Saccharomyces cerevisiae S288C: one gene and its partners. The gene in region 2 interacts genetically with the main gene of each other region. Each region holds a gene or a part of one and is shown on either strand. Other genes may lie near its edges. The genes, in order: DIT2, KGD4, BUD6 and SST2.

Region 1 (4,432 bases), on a different chromosome or scaffold from region 2:
CTAGCTAACAATGGAGAGATATCCTTTGTGTCTACTGGTGCACTTACCACATTAGCAACAGTTTTTAGGTGTAAACCATACCTAAAAAAATCTGTCAAATATATTAGCATTATGGGGGGTGGACTCCATGGTCTAGGAAACTGTAACCCAAATCTTTCTGCTGAATTCAACGTTTGGATTGATCCTGACGCAGCGAATTACATATTCCGTGATCCCGATGTAAAGGACAAATGTATAGTAGTTCCTCTAAATTTAACTCACAAGGCCATAGCTACTTACAAGGTTAACGAAATGATATACAACGAAAAGAATAACAGCAAGTTACGAGAATTGTTTTTGGAGCTTTTTCAATTTTTTGCTCATACCTACAAGGATATGCAAGGATTTGAATCGGGCCCACCTATACATGATCCGGTAGCTTTGATGCCGCTTTTGGAATTTTATGGGTGGGATCCATCGTCTGCGGTTGGATTTCGCTACAAGAGAATGGACATATCCTGCATTGATGATGTTTTCAACGAAAACTCAGGGAAAATTATCATTGAAAAAGAATATCCAAATGACAGTGATGTTGGTACAATAATTGGTCTCGATTTGAATATCCAGTACTTTTGGGATCAGATTTTTGAAGCATTAAATAGAGCAGACAAAATGTCAACGATTGGATAAGAACTTCTATAAAAGGCTTTTTTTTTTTCTACTGACCTTTGGTCAGGTTCTGTTCCTTTCATTTTCACTGGATACAAAGAAGTTTCACTAAAAGTTGTCGCGATTGTATACATATATGCGTATATATACAATTCTACATGTTTTATATTTATTCCATTATATTCTCGTTAAATTTTAACTTTAAATTAAGAGGGCAAAGAGGCCCAGCGGGAGTTAATTTTTCTTCCCATTCAGGGTCAAGACTCCATCGAAACTGTTTCAACATTTCAGCCAAAGAAATTCTCATTTCTGTTAGGGCTAGTTTTTCCCCTAGGCATGCTCTTCGGCCTCCATGGAACCCAGTCACAGCACATCTGTTTTTCGCCATTCTCCAGTTTTTCCTTATGGTTTCGATATCTGAACCCCATCTTTCTGGTTTAAAATCATCTGCTGTTGTGCCCCAAGTTTTGGGATCGTGTGAGGTTCCAAAGTTGTTGTACCCGACATATACGCCCTTGGGTATAACAATTTCCGCCCCCAACTTGCACGTTTTGGTAGTACATCTATTAATAATTGTGCTCAAAGGAGGATACATTCTTACTACTTCGAAGAGAAAAGCATTTAATAAGGGTAAATCTGCTAAGCCTTTTGGATCAGTGATGCCGTTTACTTCCTTCCTGAGTTTCTCTTGCCATTCATTTGAATATTTGGCTAGAAGGTAGAGTGAACTATTAAATAGCAACTGCGGGTTTTCATGGCCAGCGACAAGGATAATGACGATATTATCGGTCAACTGTTTGTAGTCGATTATTTCGTTATTGTGAGCACGAATTAGATCACTGGCAGCAAAAGTAGTTTGTTCAAATTTGTAATTATTGACTAATTCATCTTGAACTCTTTTAACGAGAAGTTCTCTAAAACTAACAACATCCTTGAAGGCTTTTTTTCTTGAAGGAATAGGAAGAACATCAAGGAATGGAAAAGTTAAAAAGAATGGATGAAATATTTGCTTTTTAATACGAATCAAATGCTCGTGGAAAGCATTTTTTTCATGTGTTAGAGCACCAAAATCAAATCCAAGGGCAACCTGTGAAATGTTATCCAATGCCATTCTCTGGGATAAAGGTCCCATAGGGATCGAAGTTTGTCCTTCTAGGAGTCTGTTTTTTATCAAAGTGCATAAAATTTTTGCATTTTTGAATATAGGTGCATCGTCAAAATGTTGGAGCCCGTTTGTCACAGCATTTCTGTAGTTTCTCCAAACTGCACCATACGCGCTAATGACATTGTCCCCTGTGTAAGCGGCAAGAGCACTGTATGGGATTTTCTTTTGATTACCGCTCTTCGCAAAAGTATCTTCATCTTTGAATATTTGTGCTAGATACTCAGAACGAGAAACGAGAATATTCCACCGTGAACCAAAGAAAAATTTTACAGCACCGTATTTTTCCATTGATTCCCTAATATAAAGATCGTATAGCTCCGTTTGATCAATGGGAAATATTACTGGTAAAAATACTACATAAAATGGGATGGTGGGTATATTTTTGGGAAAGTTTAGAGGTGGGACAATGATTGCAAAGGCGACATAGGAAAGAGTAAGAAATAAAATCAAACACAGAAGCTTTAACAACTCCATTTTTAATGCTTTTTTCGATTTATTCTCTTAGTCTGAATCAAATACCATTTTGAAAAAACGAAAATATTTCAAGAAAATTAATGTATTTTTTTGCACTACCTAATATACTATTCGCATCAGGATGACCAGTCATTCCTCTTGTGGTCCGTGGCTTGTAATTTTCGGGAAAGATAGAAATCACTGCATTCATCGAAAGAAGTGAAAATAAATTGTATCGGGGAAGTAATGAGGGGTGGAATACGTAATTGCTTCTCAATTTGATAATACAAGTTACAGTCTTTTTATTGAGAGTCCCTGGAAGGAAAATTATTGATGTTTACCTTTTTTTGCGACGCGCGTCTGGCCATAAATAAAAGGGTTCTCTTGCCAAGAAAAAATAAAAAGGCGCCTTAAGGGACCTTCTATGACAAATATGGTGAGGTATGCAACCTCAATGAAGAGCAATGAGAAAATTTAAGGGGTAAGTAAGCATCGGAATTTGTTGTTTCCTAACAATTTGTCTAATTTACTCAATAATATCAGGAGAATTGATCGAAAAAAGCAAACCAGGAACCCCTCACAAATAAGGGAACATAAAGTAATTGCTCGTCTTTACATACATGGCACTCAATCCCAGACGTCGCGTGCTAAAAATCCTTATATTATTGGCCCCTCAGGAGTTTATTTGAATTTTGATTGCATTGCTTTCAGTGGACAGTATATCATAAAATTTGCAAGGGCATAGTGCCTGCCCTACGATGTTGTAAAACAATTTCTGAAAATAGGTTCAGAATCAAAAATGATGTATAAATATTGAAATAAATTTTCACATAAATTGTGCTCCTCCGCAAAGTCTTGACTAAATAAACAATTTGTTAATATCCTAATTCGGTAAAGCTTTGTCGAGACATTAACAAAAATGACATTTACTAGCAACTTGCCCTCAAGCTCCGAGCAGTCAATATCACCACCTGCCTCTTCATTTTCTTCATCGACTGATACGTTGAAAGATATTGATATTCCCCATAATGGGGCCGATTTGTCTACATATAGTAAATTTCTGGCCCTGTATTGCAGAAGCGACAAATGTGACGATTTTTACTCTTTAGAGGAAAAACAGAATTGTAAATTTGGAGACCAATGGCTCGACTTTATCAACACTATTCACAATCTGGACTTTTCTGAATCCGAAGTAAGTGGACGGGTTTCTGAAAGAATTTTGCCAGCTTCTTTAGCAAATAAATTTACCAATAATTTAGGAGTGGCAATAAAGATTTCTGAATATACACGCGATGACGAACGCCAGATTCGTGGGTGTGTTACAACAGTTGAGAATGAAAATTCTTTCAATAACTGGTTCGTATATCATATTTTAGACCAATCTCAATTATCTCTAAGTGAACATCCAATTGTAACCAAAGAAGTTAAGTATCACGAATTATTTGCAGATTTTTTTGAGAAAAATTTGAAAAACACAATAGTTAATGATCAATGGAATTTTGGTGGCCGTGATTATTTTATTGAACGTTCAAGATATTTTACCGATCGATATTTGAGAATTGAATGCATCTTGCCAGCGTTTCCATGTAAGTCATCTAATGAGCAAAAAGTGTACGGTTCCGTTCCTGACAAAGGCGAAGAACTCGCTTTGAAAAGATTAATAAAAGCCACACAAGACCTTGTCAAGATATATCCACCGGGTATGAAAATTTGGATAGTTAGTGATGGCCATGTTTTCTCCGATTGTATTGGGGTCGATGATGACGTCGTGAGTACTTACACGACCAAATTGCACGAACTGTATAAAAGAGTGGCTATACCTGGTGTTGACGCCATTGGCTTTTGTGGATTGAACGATTTATTTTTTAGCGGTGCAGCTAGTAAAGTTTTCGATCCAAAGTGGGTTAGTGATGTTGAAGTTGCACACTACACAGGAACTCAAATCTGTCCTAAGTCCGATTTGTCGAGACAGATTTTGATGAAAGGCTGTGATACAGATGCAGGTCGTTTGAGAAAGCAGATTGCAATAGAAGGACATCCAAGATTGCATCTGTATAGGGGCTTTTCACGTTTTATGATGGAAGATTTATCTCTACTGGAACATTTCCAAAGTTATTCCAGAAAAAAATTCAAGAAAATCATTTCAATGATCGCTTTTAACATGAT
Region 2 (3,281 bases):
GCAACACATTGAGAGATTATTGAAAGATCTAGTCACTGAAAATGCGTATGACAATCCTCTAGCGGATGCTGAAGAAGCGCTCGAACCCAGCTATATTTTTGAATATCTAGCTACCGTCATGTACCAGCGAAGATCAAAGATGAATCCACTTTGGAATGCCATCATTGTTGCTGGTGTACAGTCTAATGGTGATCAATTCCTAAGATACGTAAATCTTCTAGGTGTTACGTATTCGTCTCCCACCTTGGCCACAGGTTTTGGGGCACACATGGCAAACCCACTGTTAAGGAAAGTTGTAGATCGAGAATCTGATATTCCAAAGACCACTGTACAGGTTGCTGAAGAGGCGATCGTAAATGCAATGAGAGTTCTTTATTATAGAGATGCCCGTTCTTCTAGAAACTTCTCACTGGCCATAATTGATAAGAACACAGGTTTAACTTTCAAGAAAAACTTGCAAGTTGAAAACATGAAATGGGACTTCGCCAAGGATATTAAAGGCTACGGTACTCAAAAAATTTAGAAGAGTTTTATCCCACCTTCATTAAATACTCATTTTATTTTTATTTTTCAATTCATAATATCATCACTCTTCTCTCTTCCTAAGTAACTACGTTTTTACATAGATATAATGATATGTGTAAAGAAACTATAAAATAACAAAAAAAAATCATAATATTACTGCATCTATCCTTCACCATGCACCACCGCTATTTATGCTCTCCAATTCATGCTCGTTAATAGGTTTGTACCGAAACCTAGCAGGTAGCTCGAAAATGGAAGCAAGCTCATCTTTTTGCAATGGCCTGTTAACGAATACAGAGGTCTTTGACGAGCTGAGACCAGCATTAGCGCTATGCTTTATTGGCACTACACGGAATGGTTTATAATTTTCCATGAATTTACTCACTGGAATACACTCTTTGCTGCCAGGTAACATTCCGTTGGTAGCGCAAGGATGAACAACGACCTCAGTTGCATGCTTCACTAAGGGATGCCTTGTACCGACGAATTTTATCATCGGCTCATATGCACTCTTTGCTAATCTTATAGGTGTAGCAATCATTTCCCTGTCTTCTTGTACTTTTATCTTACTCTTATTATCGGTTAAAAACCTGGGGAAGTACTCCTTAATGGTTTGCTTTAAAGAATTCAATGCGGCTAGAAATGAAAAAGACTTTTAAGATCACTGAAACACTGCAATCTGGCTAAAATATTAGTCTTCACTATCGTCTTTTTCTCCTTTGTTGATGCGAAAGATGAATTTACATATTCGAGTCCCTTAGTCATATTATTGTACTTTTAATGCAATCTTGAGGGGAGCCAATCAACGAGTGGTTTTACTTGCACGTGACCAAGAATGGTAATAACGGTGAAATATATGACTAAAAACCTTGATAACTAAATATATCATTAATTTATTTTTAATGCCGTCTAGAAGGGTGTATGAATATCTATGTAGAAGTATGACGATGAATAATTACATAACGAACGAAAATCTCTGTTAATGAAAATATAACTCCAAATAAAATGACAAGAATAAACCACCATGTAACACGAGCCATGTTTCTTTCAGCAACAGAGTCAACGCATATATCAAAGAATTCCAAGAAAACTTTGCAACGATCATTTAATACTTGTACTCTTTGGTCAATTTCTAAATACTCCCTCATTGCCACGTACAGTGGATGCAAACTTGGTTCGAACGACCAAAAAAACTCGGGTGTATCCAATATGGTGGATGAAAGGTTAACATCCACTCTCAATTTAAAGAGCTTCCCTGATTTTTTCAAAAGCTGTTCCCTTTTTAACCCAAGGGTACCATATAATGCTAGTCTTTTAGGTAGTTTTGTGACTGATATTAAAATCGGCGAAATTCTGGATTCAAACCTTGATAATTTCGAAGATTGCGCAATCGCATGTGATAGTGTCAGCTCGATAATGTGGTCACCTGAACGTAATGTGACAATATCATTGAAAATTCTCGGTCTCTCGGTATCTCTGTCATATTCGAAATGGAATTGTTCAGTTTCAATATCTTGTTCATCCAGCGGCCGGATCATTAAATTCTTATAATCTGCAAATGTTATATCACCAAGAATATTTTTCTCTTGAATTTCAGTAAAGTTCCAAAAAACAATAACGCCATAGTGAAAAATGAAAATTTCTGCATGTCTATCATTGCCTTCATGGTCGTTGTCCCTATGCATTTTATATACACGATCAAAATCATTCTGTGATGAAGATGGTGGCGATGGCGTAGATATTGATGATGGCGAAGCTGGTGAACGAGAGGACTGTACATACTGATCGTTTCCCTCAACAGCATAAAGTTTACTCTTATCATTATTTTTATTATTATTATCGTTGCCACAACTTGCATCACTGTCGTTTTCCTCCTTCTTCAGCATGTTTATTCTTTCTGTCCTTTCCCGTTTCTCTATCTCTAAGGGAGTTTCTTCCGCAAAAAATTGTGGTTCCATAGGATTAAAAGAGTCTTGCTGACCAACTGGATTTGGTAGATGATCGGGAACTGTTGTGGTGTCTTGATTAGCGTTATTGTTATTTCCACTGGTTTCTAGTTCGTAATTATTATTTGCATCTTCCACAGTTTCCACACCTGAGTAATATTCATAATGATGATCTCTCTGTTCGCTTGTATCAATTAAATTATCAATTAATGTCTTTCCACCCATTGTTTTCTTAGATAAATTTGATTTGATTCTAAAACCGCCTTTACCTGGTAGAAGTGGCAAAGTATACGCAACGTATAGACACTCATCATACAATCTTGGTGAAACCTCATGAGTTTCCTGCAGAAACTTATACAATTGGTTGAGATTGAAGCCATCAGCAACATTATATGCGGTGATTCTTGCCATGGACTTTTCTTTTGAGTATCGAGGTAGCCGATCGAAGGAATTAGACTTCATAGAGCCCACTTTCGGTCTTTGCCTATCCAGCGCGTTCGTTGGTAGAGTTTGAAAGTGGTTCAAGTTGTCGTCTTCCGGTATCAACACTAACTTTTGTGACGTCTTCGATGTTCTTGGAGGCAGGGGATTGATCATCTTTCTACGCGAACTTAACCGCTCATATTGGCGAGGCCTATCGCTTGAAGAGCTGGATAGCCTTTCCTCTCTTCTGGCAGAGGGAATATCTGAATTATCAGAAAGAATATTATCTATGGATATATCGCTAAACCTGCCAGACGATCGCCTTCTTGGATGAGTAAAACTCTGCAGCGGAGAAGGGCCAATAGCGGAAGAGCGAACTCCTTGAGA
Region 3 (5,130 bases), on a different chromosome or scaffold from region 2:
AGGTTTTTTTAGTAAAATTGAGTCAAGTACGACCATTATTGGTCCAAGCTCTTGATTGGAGTCTTCTTCCTCAAATTCCATGTCATGATTAATGCTGTCCCTATTACGTACATTTGGCTTTGTGAAAGCGTATCGGTTCGTGGGAACCTCTACAACAGTATTGAAAACTGGTTTTCGTCTCGATTCAAGATCAGCGGAGAAACTTGAGTATATAGGTGCTTTCTTCTTCCTTCTTTTTTTCTGTGGCTTGAGAGAAGAGCTGTCATCCTGTTCTAGGGATTGAGATTCTAATTCTTCAAAAAAATAATCATCAATTACATGATTCTTCTTAGAAACAAATGAAACTGGATTATTAGCTGCCAAATGAGATTTATGCGCTGACCGTTTTCCGACTTTGATAGCTTTTGTACTTGGGGCCAGACAAGAATTTCGATATTTGTACTTATATCTTCTCACTCTCTTACTTTTTGTATTCAAAAAGTTGGCATCATTGGTTGCTTTAATTCTTTTAGGTTTAACCAACATCTTGTCAATTATACCATCGTTATGCTCTTCAGCAGCATCTAGGGAAATTACACTTTGATTATCTTCGGCAGATATATTGTATTGCTCACTAAATCCGCTATCTGAATGCCGTGAATTCAAATAAATAATAGGCTGGTCTTTATAAGACACATGTGATATGCAGCTCCCCGGTCCGTCATATTCCAGCTCATACACTGGTTCATTGCGGTATTCCTCATTTAAATTAAAACCAGAAGTTCCAGCCGATTGTGCGTCTTCACTATACTTGCTCTCATAATATTCTTGCAATTCCTTTAATTCCTTTTCGTTAGCCTCACGATCCTCTGGAAGATTTCCTAAGTATATATCTGGAGGGGCGTTTTCCTCGATATCCAGTTCGTCATCAGGTGCAATAAGATCGTTCAATAAGTTCTGTTCTTCATCTTCAATATGGGCGCTTCTGTTCATTTTCCTCTTAGCCACACCCTTATGGTTCAATAATTGAGTTTTTCTTTTCGTGACTTTTGAAGACTGCTGCTTTTGCAACGACTTTTCCCAAGCAACTCTTGGCAGGACCCCACGGTAACCAGTTCTTACATTCAATACTCTTCCTCTAAATATTACTTCGTCATTTTGAGTATTCTGTAAATTTGTACTAGCCAAGTCTTGTTCATCTTCCGTAGAATCACCTGATTGAAATACTATATCCTGGTCGAGGTCTTTAAAAGTACGATGCCTTTTCTTTGGTATTTCTTCATCACTATCATATCTTTGAGATTGAACCGAGCTGTTTTCGGGTTTAATGGAGTCGATTGTAACATCTTTCTGCTCATCTAAGGGTTTACCAGTTCTCTTTGTAAGTAAAATATCATTTGAGTGAATCACTGTAGAAGCGTTCTTCGGTAAGGTCAACTGATTCGAAATGCTGTCAAAACTAGAGATATCATAGCCCTCTAGCAACTGCCTATGCTTTATGCGTTCTAAACTGTATGGCATCTTTTGAATAGCCTTCCTCTTCCTCAAAGACCACCGAAGCCCCGTAGTAACTTGTGTATCAGTTACTACGGAAGGAGTACAAGATTCTCCAGCAGTGGAATCCAGGCTCAACCTCTCAGTGACAATTTTCTGTGATCTGCTTGCTTCTTGGACGTTTTCCTCTGCCCATAAATAATTTTCATTGAATTCGGGTTCGTATATGATACTAATTTCCTCATCAGTGGCCTCAGAATCTGATATCACAATAGGATTCGGTTCATCAACATCCATAAGCTTATCTGCTGACGCTACCACTAAACTTCAAATCTACAATCCTATCTTTTATTCTTTCACTTCTTGAATTTAATTTTACACGCAGATGCGCTTTACTCTTTGAAGATATCTCGCTAGCCGAGCTGAACGAATTTTATCCTACTATTATGCATTCTTGAGATAATGGCATCAAAACAAACCCAAGAAAAGGGAAAAAGAGTAGAAGCTGGCTGCCAAATTGGTGTAGTAATCCTCGTATTATTTTAAAATTAGATGAAGATGGCCGTGGATGACCCTACGTATGGCACCCCAAAGATTAAAAGAACTGCTTCTAGCAGTAGTAGTATTGAAACGACAGTAACAAAGTTGCTGATGTCCACCAAGCACCTCCTCCAGGTCTTAACACAATGGTCTAAGGGGACAACCTCTGGAAGATTAGTATCTGATGCATACGTTCAGTTGGGCAATGACTTCAAAGTCGTATCGAAATTCTTCATGCATGCGAAAGTTGACATGTCAGATGTTGGTGATGTGCCAATGGCTTTAAGACGTGTATTGGAAGTGACATTGAGGGAACCACCATCTGATGAAACTTTAAATAAACATCTGCCAAAAATCAGAGAGATTATAGTGACACTTTTAGACAAACTAAAGGTTAAACAAGCAATTTTGAAGAATATGCAGCAAGAGCATCGGATAAGTGTAAAATCACATCATCAACAAAACCCTTCCTTTACTAGTAACCTTTCATTGGGTAGTGAAGGGACCCGTGAGGGGACTCCATTAAGTAGCAGAAAAAGCAGTATTGTACGTGATCAGAGGCAAAGCGATTCAGTCGAAAACAGCTATGGGGAAAAAGTGAATTCTACTTCTACGGGAACACCCTCTGCTCAGTCAGCAGAGGCAACATTGACAAAACCAAGAACTAATATTAAACAAAACCTTAAATCTAACAATGCTCCAAACGCATCTGATGATGATGATGCACTTTCACAATTGAAGAAGGGAACTAATTTACAAAGGAGAGCCTCAAAGAGATACTCTGCCTACCATATGGCTAAATTGACAAATCAGTCTACAACAGAAGCTGCTGCGGCTGCCGGCCTCATGACAACTCCTTCACCCTCGATGTTGCATCTAGAGGAAACCGTAAGAAAGTCAAAGTTATACGGAAATAACAACAATGATGATGATAGAAACATTAATTCAGCTGAAAATAAGGGTAAAAGCATTGACGATGTATCAAAGGCGAGTCCATTGGCGAAAACGCCATTGCCTATTGAGAATGTTCGTGCATCTCCACGAAGATTATCAAGCGTTGTTACAACTTCGCCAGATAAAGCCATGAATGGAACTTGTCCAGTATTTTTAAGGATAGGAGACAAAACAAAGAAGTGTCATGTGCAACTGCCTACTACAAAAAACGCATTAAGGCTCCTATTTATTGAGCGCTTTGCGTATTCTCCTGGAGCAAATTCCTTCCCAGACATATATATTATGGATCCTCAATATGGAGTATTCTATGAATTAGAGGAACTAAATCTTCTCGATATTAAAGAAGGGTTTGTTATCGAGCTAAAGCTCGAAGAGAATCCAAATAATACGATCAAGGAATTCATTGACACAGTTAAGATGGAGATATCGAATAGTCAGAATGATATAATAAGACATTTAAAAGAAATGAGTTTTGGTTCTGCAATTAGCGGCAAGCAAACGGAAGTTTTACCACAACCTGGCCTTGAAGCTAACAAACACGATCTTGTGGGGCAAAACAAAAAAGATGATGATAAAACGATCAAAGATATTCAGTACGAATTGGGGAAAATAAAACAAGTGCATAATATTAATAGGTCAAATATTAATGAGACTATTTTCAACATTTTACGAAAGGTCGATAACTTTAAGTCTTTATCATTTTCTGCCAAAAACTCTTCCAACAGAATGTACATGGAAAAATCACAGACCGAACTCGGTGATTTATCCGATACTCTGCTAAGTAAAGTAGATGATTTGCAAGATGTAATCGAAATTATGAGGAAAGACGTTGCTGAGCGTAGGTCTCAGCCCGCTAAAAAGAAGCTAGAAACCGTATCCAAGGATTTAGAAAATGCCCAAGCAGATGTACTTAAACTACAGGAGTTTATTGATACTGAAAAACCACATTGGAAAAAAACTTGGGAAGCTGAGCTCGATAAGGTCTGTGAAGAACAACAGTTTCTCACGTTGCAGGAAGAGTTGATTTTAGATTTGAAGGAAGACTTGGGTAAGGCATTAGAAACTTTCGATCTTATTAAGTTATGTTGTGAAGAACAAGAAAAAAACCCTTCGAGATCAAAAAGTAATCCTATTTTGCCTATTATGAGACCGGGCACATTTAATCAGGTAAGGGAGCAAGTTATGGTGGCCGTCCAATCTTTAAACCCTGACCACGATAGTAGGGTCGAAGCTATTGACAAGGCTGAGAAGATGTGGGAGATGGAAAGAAAACTTAAAGCTAGTAATGAATTTGATGATGAACTGGAAAATTTTGTGGGTAATTCAAACCTGAAAAAATCGGGAGGCTTTGAAGAAGTAGAAAGGATAAGAAAGCAGAAGGATGAAGCAAATTTGAGAGCATATTTTGGGCCGGGGTTTACTTAAATACACTAATTTTATGAAAGCTAACGGAAAAGAGATTAGTGCTTTTGGCTTATTACAAAGTTTGCGGCAATATTTTCCTTATCAGCATCATAAGCTGTCAGTATTTCATGTATTATTAGTACTAATTAACTATATGTATATATATATATATATATGCTTGCAAGTGTTGAATTTCCTTTCTCAAAAGAATGATATTATCTTTAAATTTTGATGTGTTTGAAGATAGGCTTTCCAAAAATCCATTCAATATGGTGAATCGTACCTCATACTCGATTAAAGGATCACATTTCGTAATTGGACAACCGCTGACTGTCATTTCAATGATGCGTTGTAAGAACGAATGAAATTGCATATTTTGCGTAACATTAATTGATAGATCCTTAAAAGCAGATTTATAACATTCCGAAATGTTCTTTACAACATGATCAATTTGCATGAGAACGGTGTTTGTTGAATTTAAATTTGTGTCAATTGTTTTATAAGAGATTCTAGTGTTAAACAGCGCTATTAAACTTCGAAATATCCCTTTACTAGATTTCGAACGGATATGGAAATTATTCATTGTGCTTGAATGTTTCCAAACTTCCAATTCTTTAACAAATATGTGCATTGCACAAAATTGAATAACCGTATCATCATCTGATTGGGAGCTTACGGCTAAAATTTTGTCTCTATTGGCTTTCGCATTATATTTTTGAAATCCGCCCATGGCAAGCTTTTTGATATTGATCACTTGCT
Region 4 (4,853 bases), on a different chromosome or scaffold from region 2:
TAGTTTTCTAATTTTGCAGCTGTTTTCAATGAAGAAAACATTGCGCTTACAGATATGTACAGAAGGGATCTTCTTAACCATCAATTTCAATAAGTTAGAACAATATATGTACGAATATAGATATAAATACGAACGTGGTTAGTATATAGAGACAATGGAGCATGTAGATTCCGATTTTGCACCTATAAGGAGATCGAAAAAGGTTGTTGACAGTGACAAGATTGTGAAAGCAATAAGCGATGATTTGGAGCAAAAAAATTTTACTGTACTGAGAAAGTTGAACCTTGTTCCAATTAAAAAAAGTGTTAGCAGCCCAAAGGTGTGTAAGCCGAGTCCAGTTAAGGAGCGAGTGGACCATGTTTTCTACCAGAAGTTCAAATCAATGGCCTTGCAAGAGCTAGGCACCAATTATTTGTCAATAAGCTACGTTCCGAGCTTAAGTAAGTTTCTTTCAAAAAATCTTAGGAGTATGAAAAATTGTATCGTTTTCTTCGACAAAGTTGAACATATACACCAATATGCTGGTATCGACCGTGCAGTTTCAGAAACACTGTCTTTAGTCGATATAAATGTCGTAATTATAGAAATGAATGACTACTTAATGAAAGAGGGTATTCAATCAAGCAAATCAAAAGAATGTATCGAGTCAATGGGGCAGGCTTCATATAGCGGACAACTAGATTTCGAAGCTAGTGAAAAACCTTCAAATCACACGTCTGACCTAATGATGATGGTTATGAGGAAAATAAATAATGACGAAAGTATCGATCATATTGTCTACTTCAAATTCGAACAATTAGATAAATTATCTACTTCAACTATAATAGAACCTTCGAAGCTTACCGAATTTATCAATGTTTTATCGGTACTTGAAAAAAGTAATAACATTGCATTTAAGGTCCTCATTTATTCAAATAACGTTAGCATTTCGTCTCTCCTATCGACATCCCTCAAAAAGAAACTCAACACAAAATATACTGTGTTTGAGATGCCGATATTAACATGCGCTCAAGAACAAGAATATTTGAAAAAAATGATAAAGTTTACCTTTGATTCCGGAAGCAAGTTATTACAGTCTTACAACTCGCTTGTCACATGCCAGTTGAATAATAAAGAATCCAACTTAGCAATCTTTTTCGAATTTTTGAAGGTCTTTCCGCACCCTTTTACCTATTTGTTTAACGCTTACACTGAGATTATAGTCCAGAGTAGAACTTTTGATGAATTGTTGGATAAGATCAGAAACAGACTGACAATAAAAAATTACCCACATAGTGCTTATAACTTTAAGAAAAACCAGCGTCTTCCACTTAAGTTAACTCGAAAAGTACATGATAGATAAATTACCAAGGTCTTTTGAAAGAGTTCGAACAATACAAAGAGATGGCAACTCCTTTGGAAAAGTTCAAGTTGAACCACCTCCGTTGTCTCTATTAATGAAGAAGCCATGAAGTATGCGAAGTTTTAACTGAATCATCTTCAATAATTATGGGATGTCTGGGTTTTAAACGTTTCATAATATTCAATTTTGAAACAATGATCCCAATACTGCTTTTTTTTTGACTAGGACTTGGATTTGGTTGCTGGTGCGTTAGAATTGTTGTCTGTCCTGTTATATTTATACCGGTGAATGAAATCATAATCCCAGCTCTGTCTTTACTTCTCATCGTCCTTTAACTTTGGAGGTGTTACTGTCGTACGTTCCTTCTAGGTTTTGCACGCACTATCTGAGGCGTTATAGGTTCAATTTGGTAATTAAAGATAGAGTTGTAAGATGGTGGATAAAAATAGGACGTTGCATGAATTATCTTCCAAAAATTTCAGCAGAACGCCGAATGGACTGATCTTTACCAATGATTTAAAGACAGTATATTCCATTTTTCTAATTTGTTTGGATTTGAAAGAGAAAAAACATAGTAGTGACACTAAGTCTTTCTTATTAACTGCATTCACTAAACATTTCCACTTCACTTTTACATATCAGGAAGCTATTAAAGCAATGGGACAATTGGAACTAAAAGTGGATATGAACACAACTTGTATTAACGTTTCATATAATATTAAACCTAGTTTGGCGCGCCACCTTCTTACATTATTTATGTCTTCTAAGCTACTACATACACCGCAGGACAGAACTCGTGGCGAGCCAAAAGAGAAAGTTCTTTTCCAACCAACACCTAAGGGAGTTGCTGTTTTACAAAAGTATGTTAGAGATATTGGGTTGAAAACAATGCCTGATATTCTTTTGTCATCGTTTAACTCCATGAAACTTTTCACTTTTGAGAGAAGCTCTGTCACGGATTCAATCATCCATAGTGATTATTTGATCCATATTCTTTTCATTAAAATGATGGGCGCTAAGCCAAATGTTTGGTCTCCAACAAACGCAGATGACCCATTACCTTGCCTATCTTCGTTGTTGGAATACACTAATAATGATGATACATTTACTTTTGAGAAATCTAAGCCAGAACAAGGATGGCAAGCTCAGATTGGAAACATCGATATAAATGACTTAGAAAGGGTATCGCCATTAGCTCATCGATTCTTTACAAATCCAGATTCTGAGTCGCACACGCAATACTACGTTTCGAATGCAGGTATTAGGTTGTTTGAAAATAAGACGTTTGGCACTTCCAAAAAAATCGTGATTAAGTACACCTTTACAACAAAGGCTATATGGCAGTGGATAATGGACTGTACTGATATTATGCATGTTAAAGAAGCGGTCTCGTTGGCAGCGTTATTTTTAAAAACGGGGTTGATTGTACCAGTTCTTTTACAACCATCACGCACTGACAAGAAAAAGTTTCAAATTAGCAGGTCCTCTTTTTTTACCTTGTCCAAGCGTGGTTGGGATTTGGTTTCTTGGACAGGTTGTAAGAGCAATAATATTAGAGCACCAAATGGTAGCACCATAGACCTAGATTTCACATTAAGGGGTCATATGACTGTTCGTGATGAAAAAAAGACATTGGATGATAGTGAAGGTTTTTCTCAAGACATGCTTATCTCTTCGAGTAATTTAAATAAACTGGACTATGTGCTAACTGATCCAGGTATGAGATATTTATTCAGGCGCCATTTAGAAAAGGAACTTTGTGTAGAAAATTTGGATGTCTTCATTGAGATTAAGAGGTTTTTGAAGAAAATGACAATTCTGAAAAAATTGATAGATTCTAAGCATTGTGATAAAAAATCTAATACCAGTACTTCAAAAAACAATATCGTAAAAACGATTGATTCAGCTTTAATGAAACAGGCCAATGAGTGCCTTGAAATGGCATATCACATTTATTCGTCCTATATCATGATAGGATCACCATATCAATTAAATATCCATCATAACTTGCGTCAGAATATTTCTGACATCATGTTGCACCCTCATTCTCCATTATCGGAACACTTTCCTACTAATCTATACGATCCATCACCTGCATCCGCGGAATCAGCAGCTTCATCAATTAGCTCAACGGAGGCTGACACGTTAGGTGAACCACCTGAAGTGAGTCTAAAACCTTCAAAAAATCTTTCAAATGAAAACTGTTCATTTAAGAAGCAAGGATTCAAACATCAGTTAAAGGAATATAAACCTGCCCCGTTAACTCTGGCAGAAACGCATTCGCCTAATGCATCAGTAGAAAATTCACATACAATTGTTCGTTATGGCATGGACAACACCCAAAATGATACCAAATCGGTTGAATCATTTCCAGCAACTTTGAAGGTCCTCAGGAAATTATATCCCCTCTTCGAGATCGTTAGCAATGAAATGTATAGACTGATGAATAACGATTCCTTTCAAAAATTTACCCAGTCAGACGTATACAAAGATGCTAGCGCTTTAATAGAAATCCAAGAAAAGTGCTAATTTCATTGAGAGTCTTACTCATCTTCAGGTACAATTGCACAAACAGTCCTTTTTTTTTTCTTTAGTTCTCCTAACCTAATATGTCTTGATACCCATAAGGACTGTAAATACTATTACGTATAAATTAAGCGGAGGTGTGATTTGTTATATCAACTATAATATGATTAAATAAAGCCATTTATTATCTAGTATAATTTCCAATCCTGAGATGTGACTAACGTGAGCGCTTACGAATCTTCGCATCATACACCTGTGGCCAAGGCTGGTTGGCGGTTTAAGTCCGTCTGAAAACTTTTTTTTACGTCATTTGAAGATCAAAAGTATTGAACATATACCTAATGACACAGTTTTTTACACTTTTTTTGAGTTAAATTATTCAAGGACAAAAAATAGTGTGCGTAAATGGAAGAAATATAAACGTATATAGAAAATCATTTACCTCTCCTGTAGCACCGCAGTCATTACATAACATTTTTTCGAGGGTAAGTAAACATTACGCAAAAAAAGAAAAGGACTTTAAACCTTGGGATTGAACGCAAATTCATTCATTAAAATATCAACATCCCTCCAAACCATATCAGATTCCCAGTTATCCCAACCTGCCATGATGGAATTGGGTGATTCTTTGATTGTAGTTGTAACGGGGTTTGATTGAACAATGGGATACGTTTCTAATAGAGAAGAGTTGGCTTGTGTCGCAGGTAGTGTGTTTTCTTGCATTTGTGTTATTGAAAGAGGCGGTTGATTTGCCGGATGTTCAGCATTCCTCCCTATTGGCAGAGGTTCATTGACAGCTTCAGTGTCCTTGATGTCTGTAGAAACACTGGAATCTAAATTTGCATGATTCAGTTGTTCCCTAGGTGACATTTTATTGAGGATTCCTCTATATGATATAGTGTTCGCTACTTGACTATTTGGGGTCGTTAATGAGCTTCCACTGCTGGTAGAGCCTGCATTTATTGGATTTGGGTCTAGCGGAATT

What was found.
Region 1: mutations in KGD4 (region 2) and DIT2 together harm fitness more than expected from each alone (negative genetic interaction), as found in Saccharomyces cerevisiae (2 studies listed by BioGRID).
Region 3: mutations in KGD4 (region 2) and BUD6 together harm fitness more than expected from each alone (negative genetic interaction), as found in Saccharomyces cerevisiae (2 studies listed by BioGRID).
Region 4: mutations in KGD4 (region 2) and SST2 together harm fitness more than expected from each alone (negative genetic interaction), as found in Saccharomyces cerevisiae (2 studies listed by BioGRID).

Annotation. Positions count from the first base shown.
Region 1 is NC_001136.10:1,271,417-1,275,848, forward strand, and holds DIT2 (putative cytochrome P450), read right to left. Parts: upstream 2,288-4,432; coding exon 818-2,287; downstream 1-817. Other genes in the region: URH1 (trifunctional uridine nucleosidase/nicotinamide riboside hydrolase/nicotinic acid riboside hydrolase), read left to right, coding at 1-669; DIT1 (Dit1p), read left to right, coding at 3,186-4,432. UniProt on the Saccharomyces cerevisiae protein: Involved in spore wall maturation. Thought to catalyze the oxidation of tyrosine residues in the formation of LL-dityrosine a precursor of the spore wall.
Region 2 is NC_001138.5:246,308-249,588, reverse strand, and holds KGD4 (alpha-ketoglutarate dehydrogenase subunit KGD4), read right to left. Parts: upstream 1,067-3,281; coding exon 695-1,066; downstream 1-694. Other genes in the region: PRE4 (proteasome core particle subunit beta 7), read left to right, coding at 1-523; RMD8 (Rmd8p), read right to left, coding at 1,455-3,281. UniProt on the Saccharomyces cerevisiae protein: Molecular adapter that is necessary to a form a stable 2-oxoglutarate dehydrogenase enzyme complex (OGDC).
Region 3 is NC_001144.5:768,580-773,709, reverse strand, and holds BUD6 (formin-mediated actin nucleation enhancer), read left to right. Parts: upstream 1-2,025; coding exon 2,026-4,392; downstream 4,393-5,130. Other genes in the region: MMS22 (Mms22p), read right to left, coding at 1-1,770; EST2 (telomerase reverse transcriptase), read right to left, coding at 4,514-5,130.
Region 4 is NC_001144.5:1,038,288-1,043,140, reverse strand, and holds SST2 (GTPase-activating protein SST2), read left to right. Parts: upstream 1-1,774; coding exon 1,775-3,871; downstream 3,872-4,853. Other genes in the region: RIF2 (Rif2p), read left to right, coding at 155-1,342; leucine-responsive transcriptional regulator LEU3, read right to left, coding at 4,388-4,853. UniProt on the Saccharomyces cerevisiae protein: Desensitization to alpha-factor pheromone. Is involved in regulating the signaling pathway for responding to mating pheromone.